Linked DNA regions of Sus scrofa. The protein of the gene in region 3 interacts with the protein of the main gene of each other region in a pairwise test. Links are inferred from orthologs where the notes say so. Each region holds a gene or a part of one and is shown on either strand. Other genes may lie near its edges.

Evidence for each region.
Region 1: the proteins of SPRY2 (region 3) and HSD3B7 interact in binary tests that used the Homo sapiens proteins (3 or more experiments, as listed by UniProt). The two-hybrid records come from large-scale screens. The link is inferred for Sus scrofa from reciprocal best matches to the Homo sapiens genes SPRY2 and HSD3B7.
Region 2: the proteins of SPRY2 (region 3) and UBASH3A interact in binary tests that used the Homo sapiens proteins (3 or more experiments, as listed by UniProt). The two-hybrid records come from large-scale screens. The link is inferred for Sus scrofa from reciprocal best matches to the Homo sapiens genes SPRY2 and UBASH3A.

What each region holds. Positions count from the first base shown.
Region 1 is NC_010445.4:17,460,140-17,465,617, reverse strand, and holds the start of HSD3B7 (3 beta-hydroxysteroid dehydrogenase type 7), read left to right. Parts: upstream 1-2,236; 5' UTR 2,237-2,365; coding exon 2,366-2,482; intron 2,483-2,514; exon of another isoform or gene 2,515-2,658; intron 2,659-2,856; coding exon 2,857-3,028; intron 3,029-3,246; coding exon 3,247-3,402; intron 3,403-3,694; coding exon 3,695-3,803; intron 3,804-3,881; coding exon 3,882-3,981; intron 3,982-4,182; coding exon 4,183-4,345; intron 4,346-4,792; coding exon 4,793-5,208; 3' UTR 5,209-5,478. UniProt on the Homo sapiens protein: The 3-beta-HSD enzymatic system plays a crucial role in the biosynthesis of all classes of hormonal steroids. HSD VII is active against four 7-alpha-hydroxylated sterols. Does not metabolize several different C(19/21) steroids as substrates.
Region 2 is NC_010455.5:205,741,941-205,747,636, reverse strand, and holds the start of UBASH3A (ubiquitin-associated and SH3 domain-containing protein A), read right to left. Parts: upstream 3,243-5,696; 5' UTR 3,163-3,242; coding exon 2,864-3,162; intron 984-2,863; coding exon 930-983; intron 1-929. UniProt on the Homo sapiens protein: Interferes with CBL-mediated down-regulation and degradation of receptor-type tyrosine kinases. Promotes accumulation of activated target receptors, such as T-cell receptors, EGFR and PDGFRB, on the cell surface.
Region 3 is NC_010453.5:52,155,524-52,161,040, forward strand, and holds the start of SPRY2 (protein sprouty homolog 2), read right to left. Parts: upstream 3,244-5,517; 5' UTR 2,738-3,243; intron 1-2,737.

The DNA of each region.
Region 1 (5,478 bases), on a different chromosome or scaffold from region 3:
AGGTGGCTCCAGAGCAGGAGGGCAGGGGCCGAGGTGAGACGGTTTCTCAGGGTGCTGCCTTTAGCGGCCGGCTGAGTAGGTGGGGCTGCCGGTGAGGGGGTGGAGGCGGGGTGTGGTCACGACAAGCTCCAATCAGGACAGGGCGTGGGAAGTTGCGGTGCCCGGGGGACATCCAGGGGCTGCTCAGTGGAGTGGCAGCTGCACTGAGGTGGATTTGGGCTGGAGGTGGAAGTTTGGGAGGAGCCCTCTCCACTTGCCTGGCAGCCGAAGCCCTGGGAGACAGCGAGTGCACCCAAGGGGAGAGAGCAGCGGCATTATCGCCCTGTTTTCTGGGAAATGAGTTATTCCTCACAGACCGTGAGCCCTGACGTGGACGGCAGCAGCCGTGAGCACCTGTTTTGGAGAAGGGATGAGTAGGGTCCAATCTGTGAAATGGACGCTGTCGTCTCAAGAACTGCCCCAGCCCTCAGCCATCTGGGGGCTCCGCTGGGGGCCAGGCAGACGCTCCAGGAGATGCTGGTGGCTGCTCCTGCCCAGTGACCAGTGTGGACTTCCCTGGGGTCCTCTTTGGGTGACTATCAGAATGGCAGCCGAAGGTATAGGGAGGTGACCCTAAGAGGGGTGCTCCTGGGAGCAGGGTCAGGAGAGTCGGCGCCTTGGAGTAGCGGGTGCCAGAGGGAGCGTCACAGATCCCGGACGGGTCGGCGTGGCCTCCAGGGTGGTAGCTGGGAGACTGTCCAGACGCCTCATCACAAGGGCCAGCGGGGTCAGGCCAGCCCCCTGACCATCACGCTCTGTGCTGTTAGATGGTGGCCGACATGCGGGAGAAGCGCTACGTGCAGGAGGGCATTGGCAGCAGCTACCTGTTCCGGGTGGATCATGACACCATCATCGATGCCACGAAGTGTGGCAACCTGGCGAGGTTCATCAACCACTGCTGCACGGTGCGCGGGGGGCCGGGCCGGGCCGGGGTGGGGCGGGGGCCAGGGGCACAGCCGCAGCTCACCCCATCCTTGTCCTGCAGCCCAACTGCTATGCCAAGGTGATCACCATCGAGTCGCAGAAGAAGATCGTGATCTACTCCAAGCAGCCCATCGGTGTGGACGAGGAGATCACCTACGACTACAAGTTCCCGCTGGAGGACAACAAGATCCCGTGTCTGTGCGGCACCGAGAGCTGCCGCGGCTCCCTCAACTGAGGTGGGGCAGGACTGGTGCCCTCACCCCTATTTATTCCCCTTGGTGCCCTGAGCTCCCAGCCCACCCAGCCTTAGTGGGCTCAGCAGGGCCCACGTGCCCCATCTCCGAATGTGGGGTTGGGGGCCCCCCGAGCCCAGGAGGGAGCCTCAGTCCCTTGAGGCGACTTCTGCTTCCCCTCTTGCCCCTGCCCACCCATCCCCTGAATTTTTTTTCTTTGCGGAGAAGAAGCTGTAAATGTTTTGTAGCTGCCAGCAGCTGTTTCCTGTGGAAACCTGGGGTGCCGGCCTGTACAGATCCTGTTCTTGGGGGCTGCACAGCCCCCTTGCTTTGTGTTCATGGGGCTTCCCCTTTGTGCCCTGCGTGCACCCCTCCCCAGTTTAGGGGTCTCTAGGGGCAGTGGCCATGTTCTCCCCCTGGGGGGGGGCCCTGCGCCCCCAGTCCTGGGGACTCCGTGCCTGGAACCCTGCCTCATCTTCTGTTCCTGCCAGACCCTGTGGGTCACCCTCCCAGCCTGGTGTCTGGAAGCTCCGGCTTTGCCAGGCCGGGATGGTGGGGGGCGGGCCCTTCCTGTTGGGCTGGACTGTACATATGTTAATAGCGCAAACCCAACGCCACATTTTTATAATTGTGATTAAACTTTATTGTACAAAAGTGCTTGGTCAGTATCTTTGGGAAAGAGTAGGGTGGGATGGGGGCTGAGGACAGAGGGTGGGGCAAGTGAAGAGAGGGGGAAACAGGTGGCCTGAAGCTTGGGGTGGGGAGAGGGCCTTTCGGGCAAGAGCCAGGACCTGCAGACTCAGCCACCATCACTCTGGGCCACCTGCTAGGCTGGAACAGCCATCCAGAAATCCCCCGCCAAGGCCGGCCAGGGCAGGGCCAAGGTCAGGCCTCCCTTCCCTTCCCAGAACCACAGCTGCTGCTGGGCTTCTGGCCTCCTGGGAAATCCAGCAGGAGGGAAAGACTGACATCATGCCCTGGGAGCGAGGTCACCCTGCCTGCTCCCTTTACCTCGCCCACCCAGCAGGTTCCAGCTTCCCCATTCCCTTTCCTCAAGTTCTCTGCTGGAAGCAGATGCCAGTGCAGCGTGGAGTGGCCACCAGAGGGTGCCCTGTGGCAAGAGTAAGGTGGGCGGAGAGGTGGAGGCTGGGCTGGTCTCTGTTCCTGGAATGGGCCAGGAGGGAGGAGGAGCAAGCGGAAGGGGACTGTGTCACGGGCCCGCTGGCCTGGGGGACGAAGACGGCCTCCCGGTGGCCAGTTTGGGTGTCCTGGGACCTTGGCAGCAGGTAGGCAGCAGTGATGCCAGGGCCTGGGGTCCCTTCCCCCCATCCCGGCCCTTCCCACCTTCCTCTCCCTGCCGTCCCGGCTCCCTGCCAACTGCCTTTCCTTTTCTGTCTCGGGACCTCCTCCTCCGCCTCAAACCCTGAGCCCTCCCTGCACGCCAAGCCTTCCCCTCATCTTGGTAAGTGCGGCTGGCAGGGTTGGGACAGGTAACCTGGCTGCGGCTCCCACGGCTGCAGCCTCTGGAAACGGCTCTGGGCCCCGGGTCACTGTTGCTGTCCACTAAGCCAGAGGCCTCTTCTAGGAGTAACAGGTGGGCTGTAGGTGCCGGGGCAGGTGGCAGCAGGCAACCCAGGTGAGCCAGGGTGTCTTTCCCCAGCAGGGCATGGCAGATTCTGCTCAGGCCCAGAAGCTGGTGTACCTGGTCACAGGTGGCTGTGGCTTCCTGGGGGAACATGTGGTCCGCATGCTGCTGCAGCAGGAACCCCGGCTCTGTGAGCTGCGCGTCTTCGACCTACACCTGGGCCCCTGGCTGGAGGAACTGGAGACAGGTGACTGTGGTGGGGACAGAGTGGGGACGGGGGGAGAGGATGTGGACTTCCTTCCTTGGGGTGGAAAAGATGATGTCTCCTATGTTTTCCAGTGTGGACGGATGGGATGAATGAGTCACATTGGGAATATGTGGCTTCCAAGGGTGTGGGCCAAACCCAGCAGCTGGCCTGTGGCCTCAGCTCTGACATTGCCTCTGGCTGCTCCTACCCATCCCCAGGGCCCGTGCAGGTGACTGCCATCCAGGGGGACGTGACCCAGGCCCATGAGGTGGCAGCGGCTGTGGCCGGAGCCCACGTGGTCATCCACACAGCTGGGCTGGTGGATGTGTTCGGGAGAGCCAGTCCGGAGACCATCCATGAGGTCAACGTGCAGGGTGAGCGGCTCTCCACCTACTCTGATCACACACGCAATCCTCCCTGGCGCATGGCCTGAACTTGGCTGTTTGTTCCCTGCCCCCTCTTTGACCTTGACCTCTGTAATTCTCCTGTGACAATCTGTCCTGTGGACACTCCTGCCCATCATGGCGGGCTGGCCCTCACTGACCTGCCGTGGTTCGCCCTGGGCCTGGAGCTGGAAGACTCGGGTCCTCCTCCAGCTTTGGGATGGGGAGCGGAAAGATGCAGAGGGGGAGGAAGCTTTGGTTTAGACGTCCCCCCCTACCCCAGGCACACAGAATGTGATCGAGGCTTGTGTGCAGAATGGAACACGCTTCCTGGTCTACACAAGCAGCATGGAAGTTGTGGGGCCCAACATCAAGGGCCAGCCCTTCTACAGGTGAGCTGAGGTTCCCCTCAGTCCTTCAAGGCCCCCCTCTCTCCCCAGCATTAAGAATTTTCCCTCTCCCCCCACTAGGGGCAATGAGAATACCCCATACGAGGCAGCACACAGACATCCGTATCCTCGCAGCAAGGCCCTGGCTGAGCGGCTGGTCCTCGAAGCCAACGGAAGGAAGGTAAGACAGCGGATGAGATGTGGGAGCCAGAGCGGGGGTGGAAAGAGCTGCCGGGCAGAGGCAGAGCCAGGGCCTGCAGGCGCCTTTGCATCCTGCCCTGGGCACCTCCCCTCCATCTCCAGCTTTTGGAGGCCAGGGCAGAGGGCAGGCCCTAGGGGCGGGGTGTCCTAGGTCTTAGCAGTGCCTGCCTTTTGCCCCCAGGTCCGCGGGGGGCTGCCCCTAGTGACGTGTGCCCTGCGTCCCACTGGCATCTATGGTGAAGGCCACCAGATCATGAAGGACTTCTACCACCAGGGCCTGCGCCTGGGGGGTCGGCTCTTACGGGCCATCCCGGCCTCTGTGGAGCATGGCCGGGTCTACGTGGGTGAGGCTGGGCTAGGCGGCGGGGGGAGGCTAACAGGGCTCTGGGATCCACGTGGTTCTGGGGTCGGGGATGGTTGTGTACTCTGGCTAAGAGAGGACGGTCTATACCTGGGCCAGAGCAGACAAGGGCCATGCAAGGCGAGAAGGACGGCCTCAAAACGTGTCACAGGCTGAGTGAGGAAAGGGTTGGAGTTATGGGAGCAGCATCGTTCCAGGACCATCAGCAGAAAAAATAGCCTCCATTCAGGCTGGCCCTCAAGGGCAAACGGCTACAGGGCCTGGAGGGAAGCAGCCTTCAGCACAGCTGTTGCTATGAGGGCAGCATCCACAAGGGCCCAAAGAGGGGGCAGCTTGGCCAGCACTGGCCGGGGAGAGACCAGCATGGACCTGGTCACAAGGGCACTGAGGGCCACTTCCCCCCCTTCTCCCCTCGGCCCTGTCCCCGCAGGTAACGTGGCCTGGATGCACGTGCTGGTGGCCCGGGAGCTAGAGCACCGAGCGCCACTGATGGGTGGCCAGGTGTACTTCTGCTATGACAACTCACCCTACAAGAGCTACGAGGACTTCAACATGGAGTTCTTGGGCCCCTGCGGACTGCGGCTGGTGGGCAGCCGCCCGCTGCTGCCTTACTGGCTGTTGCTGTTTCTGGCCACCCTCAATGCCCTGCTGCAGTGGCTGCTGCGGCCGCTGCTGCTCTATGCGCCCCTGCTCAACCCCTACACGCTGGCCGTGGCCAACACCACCTTCACTGTCAGCACAGACAAGGCTCTACGCCACTTTGGCTATGAGCCCCTGTTCTCCTGGGAGGAGAGCCGGGCCCGCACTATCCGCTGGGTGCAGGCCGGGGAAGACTCCACCCAATGACAGTAGGGCTGGGGCCCGGAGCCTGGCGTGGCCCAGCCATCCGGGTCCAGGGCCCTCAGATCCTGGGTGGGGACGCATTCTAGAGCTGCAGGAGGGGCCTGGTGCCAGACTGCCCATCCTAGAGCTCTCATTTTAATCCACAAGCCTTGGGTCTGTGTCCTGATGTCTAGTTCTCAGGCAGGTGTGTCTTCTTCACTCTCAACCCAGGCCTGATGTCTCACTTTTCGATTTTTTTTTTTTTTTTCTTCTTTTTTGGCTGCCCAGCAGCAT
Region 2 (5,696 bases), on a different chromosome or scaffold from region 3:
CCACAGCCATGGGTTCTGAGCCGCATCTGTAACCTACACCACAGCTCACAGCAATGCCAGATCCTTAACCCACTGAGCAAGGCCAGGGATGGAACCCACGTCCTCATGGATGCTAGTTGGGTTCTTCACCCCCAGAACAGCAACGGAAATCCTGGGTTTGGTTTTTAGTTCAAGTTTGGCAACTGACCTTGGAGCTCGCCTAGGCTGGATGGTCCTGGGTGCCCCCCCTTGTCCGTACCAGGGTTGAATGTTTGCCCTTGGCCTAGAGTTTCTGGAGGGGGTGGGAGTCCCCACTGAAGACTCGCTGGGCACACAGGGACCCAGTGCCAGTGACGACCATCCTGCTCTGGGGCGGGGACCCCAGCCTGGCGGGACCTGGGTTTTTTGCGTGTTTTTCGTCACAGCTCTTCTGGGTTAGAGCGTGAGGGGACTTCCCCTTGGGGCAGGACAGTGGCGTCACGGCCCACGCGGGCAGGGCTGGGTTTCAGGGAGGGGGTGCCCTCTTGGAGGCCCAGGGCAGAAATCCCAGGCTGGTAGCAGGGGGCAGCTGGCAGGGTCGCAGACCTGGCGGTGGCAGAGCCACTTGGACCCTAGCCTAGGGCTCCCCTGCCCGAAGCAGCAGGCTCCCTCAAGGTGCCACATGTGGGGACTTAAGGGACATACGCCCGGCCCCCGCAAGGCCCGTCCCCATCAGAGGCAGAGATAGTGGTGACTCGGGGTCATCGTATCAGCGACATGGCTCTTCCTCATTTGGTCAGCAACCCCCCCCCCCCGCCCCCCGCCAGCGCATTCGGTTACGGAAGGCTTCAGACATTCTCTCTCTTTTGCTGTCCATTCAAACACGGGTTCTTTCCTCCTTCCGCTCTGCCCCGGCCGCCCAGAGGGTCCACTGCGCAGAGACCTCACCGCCCTGCCGGTGCCCCACTCACCAGTCTGATGCCTCCTCCACCGTCTTCCTCCCCGTAGCTGCCAGTGCCTTGAGCCTGTGGGGGCAGGACGCAAGGAGCCCTCAGAACCTGCCTTTTGCTCCTGGGGGGAGGGTCAGAGCAACGGGGTGTCTGTGCAGGACATGGGACCTTCAGCCCCCCGATCCCCGCTGGGGGCTGGTGGGCGAGACCTCTCCTCGGGGAGCAGCACCCAGGCCTCTGGCCTCTGGTGGCATCGCTGTGAGTTTGGAAATGTGGACGCTCACATCTGGCCCCTGCCCCCCTGCTTCCCTGGCCCCCACCTTCGTCCATGGAACAGAGAGCAAGGGCTCATGTCCTGAGTCCACCCATGCCTGAATCCCACCTCCCTGACCCAACCCCTCCCCACAGCCAGGTGGCCCTCCTCTCGGACCCTTGAGTTCGCGTGGGGAATACATTAGAACCTGCCTTAGGCAACCTTAGGCAGCCATCAGGGCCGTGTCCCTGGCTGGCACACATGCCTACTGGCCAAGAAGCCGTCTGGCATCAACACACCCTGAGGGAGGTGGCTCTCTGGTGTCCCTCTTCCAGAAAGCCCAGCCCAAATGCCCAGGTAGGGGGGCCGTGCAGCCCCTCTGTGTCTCCTCGCTGCCCGTGAGGTCGCCAGGCCCCCATCTCAATGGACCGCCCTCCGATCCGTCTGCCAGCTCCCCGGGCCCGAGTCTTACTTGTCATTGAACCAGGACACGTGCACATTGGATGGAGCTTAACCGAAGGGGACTAGATTGGGCCCAGTGGAGTTTGGTGGAGGCATTCAGCCTGGAAATTGCTGGAGCTGATCAGGAACCCACTTTGCTGGATGCCTGAAGGGGGAGGCCCCTGGAGAGCTCATTGGAAGCTTTACCTGGTGCTCCAGCCTAAGGGTCACATTTAAAACATGCTTCTCCACCCAGCACACGGCTGATGTTTAAATTGGAAGGGGCTTGGGGTGTGCTTTCAACGGCAGCTTTGGCCACATGGCAAAGTGTGGGCTCTAGAGGTGAGGAGAGGGGGTTTCAGCCCCCCTTTTGCACCCCCTGCCCCCTCCAGCCTCGGGGTCCCCCTCCGCACCCTGCCCATGCCTGGTTTCCTTTCGAGCTCACAGCCCCCCACTCAGTGTGAGCAGAACGTGAGGACAGAGCCCCAGTGCGAGTTAGGGAGCAAAGGGGTCCAGCCTCAGGCACTCCAGCAGCTGGGTCACAGGGGTTCGTTAACCTGTTTAAGGCGCGTTTGCCCCCCTCCCAAGTGCAAGGTCACATCAGGAGGCCTCCGACGTAGTTCCCAGACGAATGAGCATGTGAAAAGGACCTGATCTAAGGAACTGGTTCCCCGTGGAAGCTGTGACCGGGTGTTGGTCTGAAAGCTCATAGTTTGGGGATGCCCCTCTGTCTCCGAAGGGTAACTCGTGAGGTTGAGGGGTCTCTGGGTGCACCTTCTCCTTGGATAAGTGGGTCGTGTCCACCTGCTCGGGGAGGTCCTTGACCCTTTTTTACATCATCAGACATCCGGGAGCTTCCCCTCAAAGACAAGGGCTCTCCCTTCGCACCGAGAGAAGCACATTCTGGCGGATTTCAAGAGGCCCACCCGACTTTGGGGCTTTCGAATTCGAGTCTGCAAGGCCATCTCAGGCTCGCTGAGCTGACCACCGAGGGGGGCAGCCAGGCCCCAAGTCCCCCCACACCCTGGCTCCCATTTCCCAGATGTCACGGGGCCCCCATCACCAGCCAGAAGAGTTTGTCTTTAAAAAGCGAAGGTCGTGTCCTTCATAAAAGCAGAACGGGCCTCACTTGGAGCAGGTCTCTGGCCCTGTGCGGTTCACCCCTCGCACAGGAAGTAAGTGCTCTGAGCCACCTGCAATTTTGCAGCCGTAGAGGGGTCGGCGGGGGGTCAGGGACCCTGGCCAGGCGGGGGGTACTCACGCGGTGTGGGCCGGGAAGCCCATGTCCAGGAGGGGCTCCAGGAGCGCGGAGGAGCTGCGGCCCTTGAGCTTGCTGGTAACCTTGGCGTAGAGCTGTGTCTCCCCCGCTGCCATCTCTTCCTGCCCGCAGACTGAGCGAAGCAGATAAAGCCGGAGAGGGAGAGGCAGGGAGCCTGAGGCTGAGAAGAGAAACCTCAAGCCCTTTGTGATCTGTCTGACAAAAGCTAATATCCTGTTTGCACGAGATACCCGTTTGCAGAACTCTCTTTGCAGAGTGTGGGTGTGGCGCCCCTTCCACATTGGGCTTTGGGGTCCGTCGGACTCCCCGCCTGGGATCAGCCGCCGCTGAGACTTGGGCTGCCCTTGGGAGCCAGTTGGCCTGAGAGGGGGTGGGGGGGACAAGGGGGAGGGGAAGCGGGGGTGGGGTTCTGAACCCCGAGGCACCTAGATCTTGGCCTCCTTAACCTGCATGGGACATTAGACTCCGCTGTATCTACTGTCCCTGCTAGCTCTGAAATGCGGGACCCTTTCAGCTATTCATTGACTTTTTAAACATTTCGAATACTTTTAAAGTTGGATGTGTGTGCAGAAAAGCTGACGAATCCTACATGCACGGCTCAGGGCATTTGCACGAAGCAGGCACGGACACCTCATCCTTCAATAAAGCAGGTCTTCCACCGGGGGAATTTTAGCCCCTTTCCCCAGGGACCACTGGCTCTGTCTGGAGACATATTTGGTGTCACAATGGATGGAGGGGGCGCTCGCCATCAGGTTGAGGCCAGGAAGGCTGCAGGGCTCATGACAGTGAAGAAGGGTCCATCCCAAGGTGTCAGCAGGGCCAAGGCTGAGAAGCTGTACCCCAGAACACCACCATCCTCAGAAGCCCCCGGCCCCCGGGATCCCCGCCGCCTGCGCAGGCTTCTAGCTGTCTCCTCCTTCCCCTGAAAGTAGCTGCTGGGTTTACTTGTGTGTTAATTTTGTCCCCACGTTGAAACTGACATAAACAGAACCATAGAACAAGCACTCTCCCAGGTCTGGTTCCTTCTGCCCAAAACTATGTGGGTGGAATTTACCCACATAACGGCCCGCAGTGGTGGTTCACTGCATGGATGTGTGTTATTCCATCAGATACGTGTACCCCATCTTATTTCTCCGCTTCTCTGAGGATGTGCACTTCTGGGGTTGTCAGTTGTTTGGATGCTGAGACACTCTTGTTTATGCCTGGGGGCCTGAGGTGTGCCTTTCTGCTGGGGACCCATTGAGGAGTGGGTAGCTGTGTCCTAGGACACGTGCCCGCTTCATGAGCAACTGCCGGGTGACTCTGCAAAGCCGTTGTCCCAGCAGCGGATGGGGCTCCTGCTGTTCTGCCTCCTGGCCCACCCTGGCTTCTGAGTTTCAGCCCTTCTGAGGGTGTGGCGAGGTGTGTCATTGTGGCTCTAATTTGCATTTCCCCGAATGGCAGTGGCACGGAGCACCACGAGTCGGGCTCCGGCCCTTGAATATCCTCCTTGGGGAAGGGTCTGCTCAGGCCATCTGTCATTTTTAGATGGTTTGTATGGGTTTTCTTATCCATTTCTGGCAACTCTGGAGGGGAGTCTTTTGTTGGGTTCCTTTCAAGGTAATAACTTCTTACAGGCTGTGGTTTGCTTTTTAAATCTCTTAGTGATGACTTTGAGTGAAACAAAAGTGCTTAATTTGAATAAAAATGAATTTATCTTTTTTTTTATGGTTAGAACTTTCGACATCCTGTGTAAGAAATCACTGTTAGACCCACAGATGCAGAGAACAGGCTTGTGGCCACCAAGGTGGGGGGAGGAGGCAGGGGAGGGTGAGACTGGGAGTTTGGGATTAGCAGCCGCAGGCTATTCTGCAGGGAATGGAAAAATAACAGGTCCTATTGTATAGTCCAGGGAACTCTATTCAATATCCTGCCATAAATCAAAAGGGAAAAGACAAAAAAAGACACCACTGCTAATTCCACTTTGATGGAGATGGCTGTCTCTGGAGTTTTACCGTATTTACTGTTTGTGTTGAGCAATACGGCCCATTGGAATGAGTTCTTTCTATGGCGGGAGGTAGGGGTAAAAGATCGTTTATTTCTCTGTACCTTTGCTCATTGAAAAGACCGTCCTTTACCCCGTGGATGGCAGTAGAGTGTATTACACATCCGCTGACTGTATATGTATCAGTCTGTCTCTGACTCTATTATGCTGCCTTCTTTGATTGGTCCATTTCTGTGTCCACATGATGCTGTTATAATGACTAGCGTGCTAAGCCCTCTGATTTGTCTTCCACTTTAAGATTCTCTCATCCCTCTAAGGCCTTTGGATTTTTCAGATACATTTAAACATCAGGTGGCCGTAGTGTGGTGGTGGAGGGTGAAAAAGACACCCCCCCCATGCGGCCAACTGATGCCCAACAGAGGGGCCAAAGGAATTCACTGGGGAAGGAATGATATTTTCTGCAAATGGTGCTGGAAAACCGCGTATCCAGGTGGGAACTGTATGAACCTCGACCGTGACTTCACATCATGCCCCCAAATTAATTCACAGTGTGTAAGGGACCTAAACGTACAAGCCCTTAGGAAACTTCTCAAAGAAAAACTCTTTGCTACGTTGGCGTTTGCAAGACTTTCTCAGGCCATAAAAAGCATGAACCATACGAGAAGAAAGTGGATAAATTGGGGTCACCCAAACTGAAAACTTTTGCTCTTTAAAAGACACCGTAAAAAATAAAAAGGGGGAGTTCCCATCATGGCTCAGCGGTAACAAGCCCAATGAGCATCCACGAGGATGCGGGCTGGATCCCCGGCCTTACTCAGTGGGTTAAGGATC
Region 3 (5,517 bases):
ACTCCGGGATACTTCCCACTCTCCACCCACCTGACTTAACTCTTCACTCCCCACTTCCCCTAGAGAAACAGCATTGGAATGGAGCAGCTGTCTAGGGCAGGTATTGGGATCGCCATCTGAACCCAAAAGAAAAAATATGGCCAGGTGCTGACAATTCTTTATTCTAATGATATGCAGTGACACAAAGCAGTGACCTTTGTTTCAATCATATAAGCAACTTACTCAGTTCAGGTTCCATGGAAAAATTGTGGCAAAGTAATGTTGGAATACAACATTGATACTGACATTTTCAAAAGCTGAATAACACCTTTTCAAATTCTGAAATAAGCTTACATTTAACATGGTCACTTCTGCCTTAAGCAGCAATAAACACAGCCAAGAAATTCTTGGTTCTTTTACATCAAACACCTAGAACTACGGTTTATCTAACTTTATAAAATGCCATAGGATGACTACGATATGCAAAAAAGTAAATACCCCTCCAAGGGATAGTTACACATTTTATACAATAATCAAGCACTATCATTAACTATAGAGTAACACAAAGTTTAGAACTAAAAACCTATCAATTCAAATCCTGCTAAGTGCCAGGAACACAATAAAGCAAATTTACATCATGAGCAACAAAAAGACAGGAACTTATTTTCAACTTCCCAACAACTTGTGACTCACATATTTTACAACCTGATAGATAGCCTAGGAGAACATCTTAAATTATGTAACTAAAAGACTGTTCTCCCTGTTTTAGATATGAATTATGTCCAAATCTCAACTGCTCTGCCCATTTCCAAAAACCTAGTGAGAACATAAACCGATTGGTGATAACAAGAAGTGTTCTAAAAACTCAAATGTCACGTCTCAGATCTATCATCCTGACAAGTAACCCCTTAAATGACCCTCCCTCTATAAATTTCAAAACTACCATCCTCTTTGCCAAGTCTGCAAAAGTGGACTTTCACCCAGTGTCTGCTTTTTAGAAAAAGAGACACAGGCAGGTGACACACACCTTCCACTTTGGAAAAAAAGCTGGCAACTGGATCTCAGTTCCAACAGAAAGGCAGACAAGACAGCGTTGCTCTTTGCTTTTACTCCGGCTACAGGCTCTATCTGCGCCCCAACACCGTCCCCAGCAGGTGGGTCACATTCGGAGCCCCGGGGCTAAGCTGCCCACCCCACCCCCCCGCGCCTCGGAAGGGGAGTGCCCTGAAATGCTAGGGCACGCTTCCCCCTCCTTTCCTCCGCTGCCAGAATCTCCCCCACCCCAGAGAACTGCCTGGCAGCTTTATGTGGGAGCCGCTCCACCCTCCGGCGGAGGTCACGCAGCCCATGGCAGGACGTTCCCTCCAAAGCCCTCGACCTTCGGGCACCGGTTTCCAGACCCGCACTGCGAGGTAGAAAGCCGTGCCTTGGACACACAGCCAGGATACCGAGGTCTAATCCTAGCACCACGGGCGACTCTACCTGCGCTGACCGAAGGGGCAGTGCCTGCAATCTGCAAATACCCATGTATTAAAAATATACACACATAGTCACATATGAATATGTTTCTTAGAGTCAAAGAAAAATTGCTTTAAAAAAGAAGACATTTTCCAGGAACCCACTGCACCCCCCCACCCCCGGGCATGCAAGACCCAGATCCCTAGGCTGGAAACTTTCCGCGCAGATTTGTTTGAGGGGGAAAGTAGCATCTTTGGGGATATTTACCAAACTGATTTTCCTGATCCCTGGCCTCCTTCACAGACCCCCGCCTCCCTCACCGCCCCCCGCTTTTGAAAGAGCTTTGAAACCCCCATTAAGAACAGTGTGTGATTAGATTTAGGATTAGGGAGAAAAGACTTCAGCACAAGGGTGGGGCGAGCCGACACAGTGACCGCTTTGTAAAAACGCACAAGATTCCAAATTAAAAAATAGCAGCAACAACAAAGTTGATCAACTCATCAAAGGAAAGGGGAAAAAAAATAGCTAGCCTCTTTTAATACCTCTTTTCAGGGAATGGAAAACGCTCGCGACTGTTTTAGGACTTTCTTCCTCTGCTGGGTCAGCCCAATCTTCCAAAAATAAAAAAAGCGTGACCCAGGCAGACCACGGCGAACGGAAAAAAGAGAGAGCTGCACTTCCGAACCGCAGAGACGCGGCGCCACGCTGGGCGACGCTCCCACCCGCCCTCTGCTCGCCTCTGTCCACACCGCGCAGAGAACCCCCTCCCAACCCGGCACCCTGTCCCTTTTTCACCCGCGGGGTCTCGCTGCCCCCGTGAGGCGAGCCCTCGGTCCCGCCGGCGTCCCTGCCCTGAGACAGCCTCTCCCAGGACTCGCTTTCCCCGAAGAGGAACAGGTTAGAAATGCGGGCGCCTGCAACAGCGACCTGGAAAACACAAAGTGCTTTCCCTCTCCCTCCCGCTCTCAGCGCCCAATTCGCGGCCAGTGCACCGCCCGGAGCCGACTCCCGGCGAGCAGTCGGCCACCCCAACCCCCCCAGGGCGCGGGCGCTTAGGGCGGTGGGTCCAGGGACCCCGTGCCAGCCGCGCACTGCAGCCCCCGCCGGGGCAGGCCGAGCCCCAGGCGAGCCAGATCAGCGGGCAGCTCCGGGGATCCCTGCGGGGAACCTGTGGAGTTAGAAAAAGGGAGGCCGGAGGAGAGACAGACCCCACTCCTGGTCCGGCTGCACCTACTCCATGTTGCCCACAATGCGCCGGCCACGGCGCCAGGAGGGGAAGAGCCAGCCAAACGCGCCTCACCGTGATCTCGGCTTTGCACCAACCCCTCTCCGTTGGATTCTCTTCTTCCTGCGATGTGCAAATAAATCCAGCCCCGATGCAAACTTTTTCCCCTTTCCTTCCAAACTCTGCTTCCGTCCAACTTCCGAGCAACCGGCGGGACAAGAAAAGGAGAGGAAATCCGGAGCCAAGTCCCCAGCCGATGAACACTGCGGGGTTCGGGGCTGGAGGCGACCCCCCTTCTGGAAGCGCACGCGGAGTATTTCCTCTTTTTTTCTCAATGAACTGGAGGCCGAAGCGCCAACGGCTTGTCTTTTCCTGGCAGATGAACGAATGAGAAAAGAGGCCTTACAGAGAACCTAAAGCCAGATGGTCAAGTCCTGCAGCCGCGTCCGCGTCGGAGCGGAGGCGGCGCGGGGACGCGGGGCGGCGGGCCGGGCCGGGCGGGCGCGGGGGCCTGGGCGCTGCGCGCTCCGCCGGCCCCTCTCCTCCGCTCGCGCTGCGGCGCGCAGCTCTCGGCAGTGCAGACTGGGCGTTGTGGAGGCGCGGCGGCGAGGCCGAGGCGGGGTGGTGGGTGCGAAGGAGGCGGAGGAGAAGGAGGAGGAGGAGGAGGCGGAGGGTCTGGGGCCTGACCGGGGGGGCTCGTTGTTGGCCTGCGCCCTAGCCTTTCCGGAGGAGGCAGGGAGCTCTGCGGCGGCCGCGGCAGCAGTAAATGGCGTCATGTGGATCCGAGGCGGAACAGAGCAGTTGTTGTCCCAGAGGATATATCGCATCCGGTCCCAGCTCATTGGCTCCGCGGGGCTACATTCACTCACACTCCAGCGCCCGCCAGCGCTCCGAGCCGCTGGAGGCATTCAAAAGGGCAACCACGCCGCCCCGCGCGTCCCCAGGCCGGTCCTACCGCCCCGGCGCCGTCACGCGGGGTGCCCGCGGGGCCGGGCTGGGCACGGCGGGGTCAGTTTATCTAGTTTCAAGGAAACACTGACCTTAAGGTTTCCCCAGAGGCCACGAGGACGAGCCGTGGCTCCCGCTGATTTGGGGAACTTTCTCCCCGCCACTAGGAAAAGGGAATGAACCTTAAAAACGAATCCGGGCCAGGCAGCGTTAGCATTAAAAACAGCAAGTTGCAGGTTTTGCGACTTTATGCGGAATCCATTGCAAGCCCACCTCTCCCCTTTTCTGTTCCCCCTCGAGGGGGCGACGGGGAGAGAAGAAGGGGGAGGGGAAGGGGAGAGGGAAGTGAGGTGGGAGGGCTATTGGTTTATTCTTTGTCTACTGGATTAACCCGATTATACACCAGGCACCAGCACAAACCGCCTCCCCCACCTCAGAGCCGCGTACGGGAGGAACGGAATGCAGATTCGTGTTTCAAGTACCTTCTGCTCTTGCCGGGATTTGCTTTTGATTACGTCGATTTGTAGTTTTTCGTTTAACATTAGACTTTATTTTTGAAGAGGGAGCGAGCTACGGATGGAGGCTTTTTTGAAGCTCTTCCTTACTGTTTTGTTTGACGCTATAGCCGAAGGAAATGCTACAATCTAGGCCTCTTTACAATTAGTTTATTCAGTCATACACACAGACGCGATTACTAAGGGCGACATCGCTGGCTTCTGAAATGGGAGGGGGGCCCGCTGTTTTACTGCATCTTTCCTCCTCCACTTAACCAAGAAGAGTCATCCTTCATTGCCAACTCTCCTTGTCACGTAGATCATTTCTCGAAGAAGATCCTATTGTCCTTTTTGAAGGTGGTCTGTACTTTCCTACTTAAAAAATAGATTATAATACAAAGAGAGAAAATGCATACATCAGCACTGTGCCGACTGCCGTTCATTTACTAAGAAAGGTTGCACGTGGGAGCACCAGTGGGGAGTTAACACCCCCCCTCCTCGACCCACTCCTACTACTGCCGTTCATTTACTAAGAAACGTTGCACGTGGGAGCATCAGTGGGGAGTTAACACCCCTCCCTCCCCGACCCACTCCTAATACTGGATTCTAATGATTTACAGAAAGGTTTTACTTTACAGGGAAGTACGGTCAAAGCTCCCGAAGAGCACCTGCGAGGGTTAGAGTTCTTGAAACACTGCTAGGAAAACGTGGTGCTAGATTCCCCGGGTCCGGCTCCATCCCACATCCGTTTACAGCTACCCTGGCACTCGCTGCCTTCTCCCAGGCTCTCGTTCTAGAACGTCCCGGCGCGTTCCCGGCCGCGCTATGCTCTCGGCCTGCCTTCTCCATGTTTCTCCAGCGCTCTCCCTCGTCAACCGGGGTTTGGAACCAGAGGTGGCAAGGGAAGTGGCACGCGTTATTTCCGGGCGCTGGCCTACGTCCCCCCCCCCCCGCCCCACGCCACCCCTCCGGCGAGGGTGGACAGGGCTACATCCGCCTGCTCAGCGGCGCCCGAGGGGGCTGCAGACACTGGACGACCCGACCCGGGCTCCCCAGCCCGGGCCGCTCTCCCAACACTGGAGTCTTTCGAGCCTCGGAGGAGCGCAGGCGCCGCTGCGCTCCCAGCCCGTCCGGCCACCAGGGGGCGCCCGCCCGGCGCGGGGCTGGAGCTGCTTTCTTCCCCAGGACTGGACGAGGGCCGGCGGAGTTGCTTTCCAAGATGTACCCAGGGCCGGCTGTTTCCCAGTGAATAAAAAGACATTTATAATGTAAGTGCAACGGCAGGTGGCTTTCCTTACCATCTCCTCGACACATTCCGTTTGAATATGAGGTGAGGCACCCAGGGGCAGAGGAACCCCAGTTTTTAGTGAGCGGACGGAGTTGGAGGCCAAAGCCAGGGTGTGCAAGGCTGGC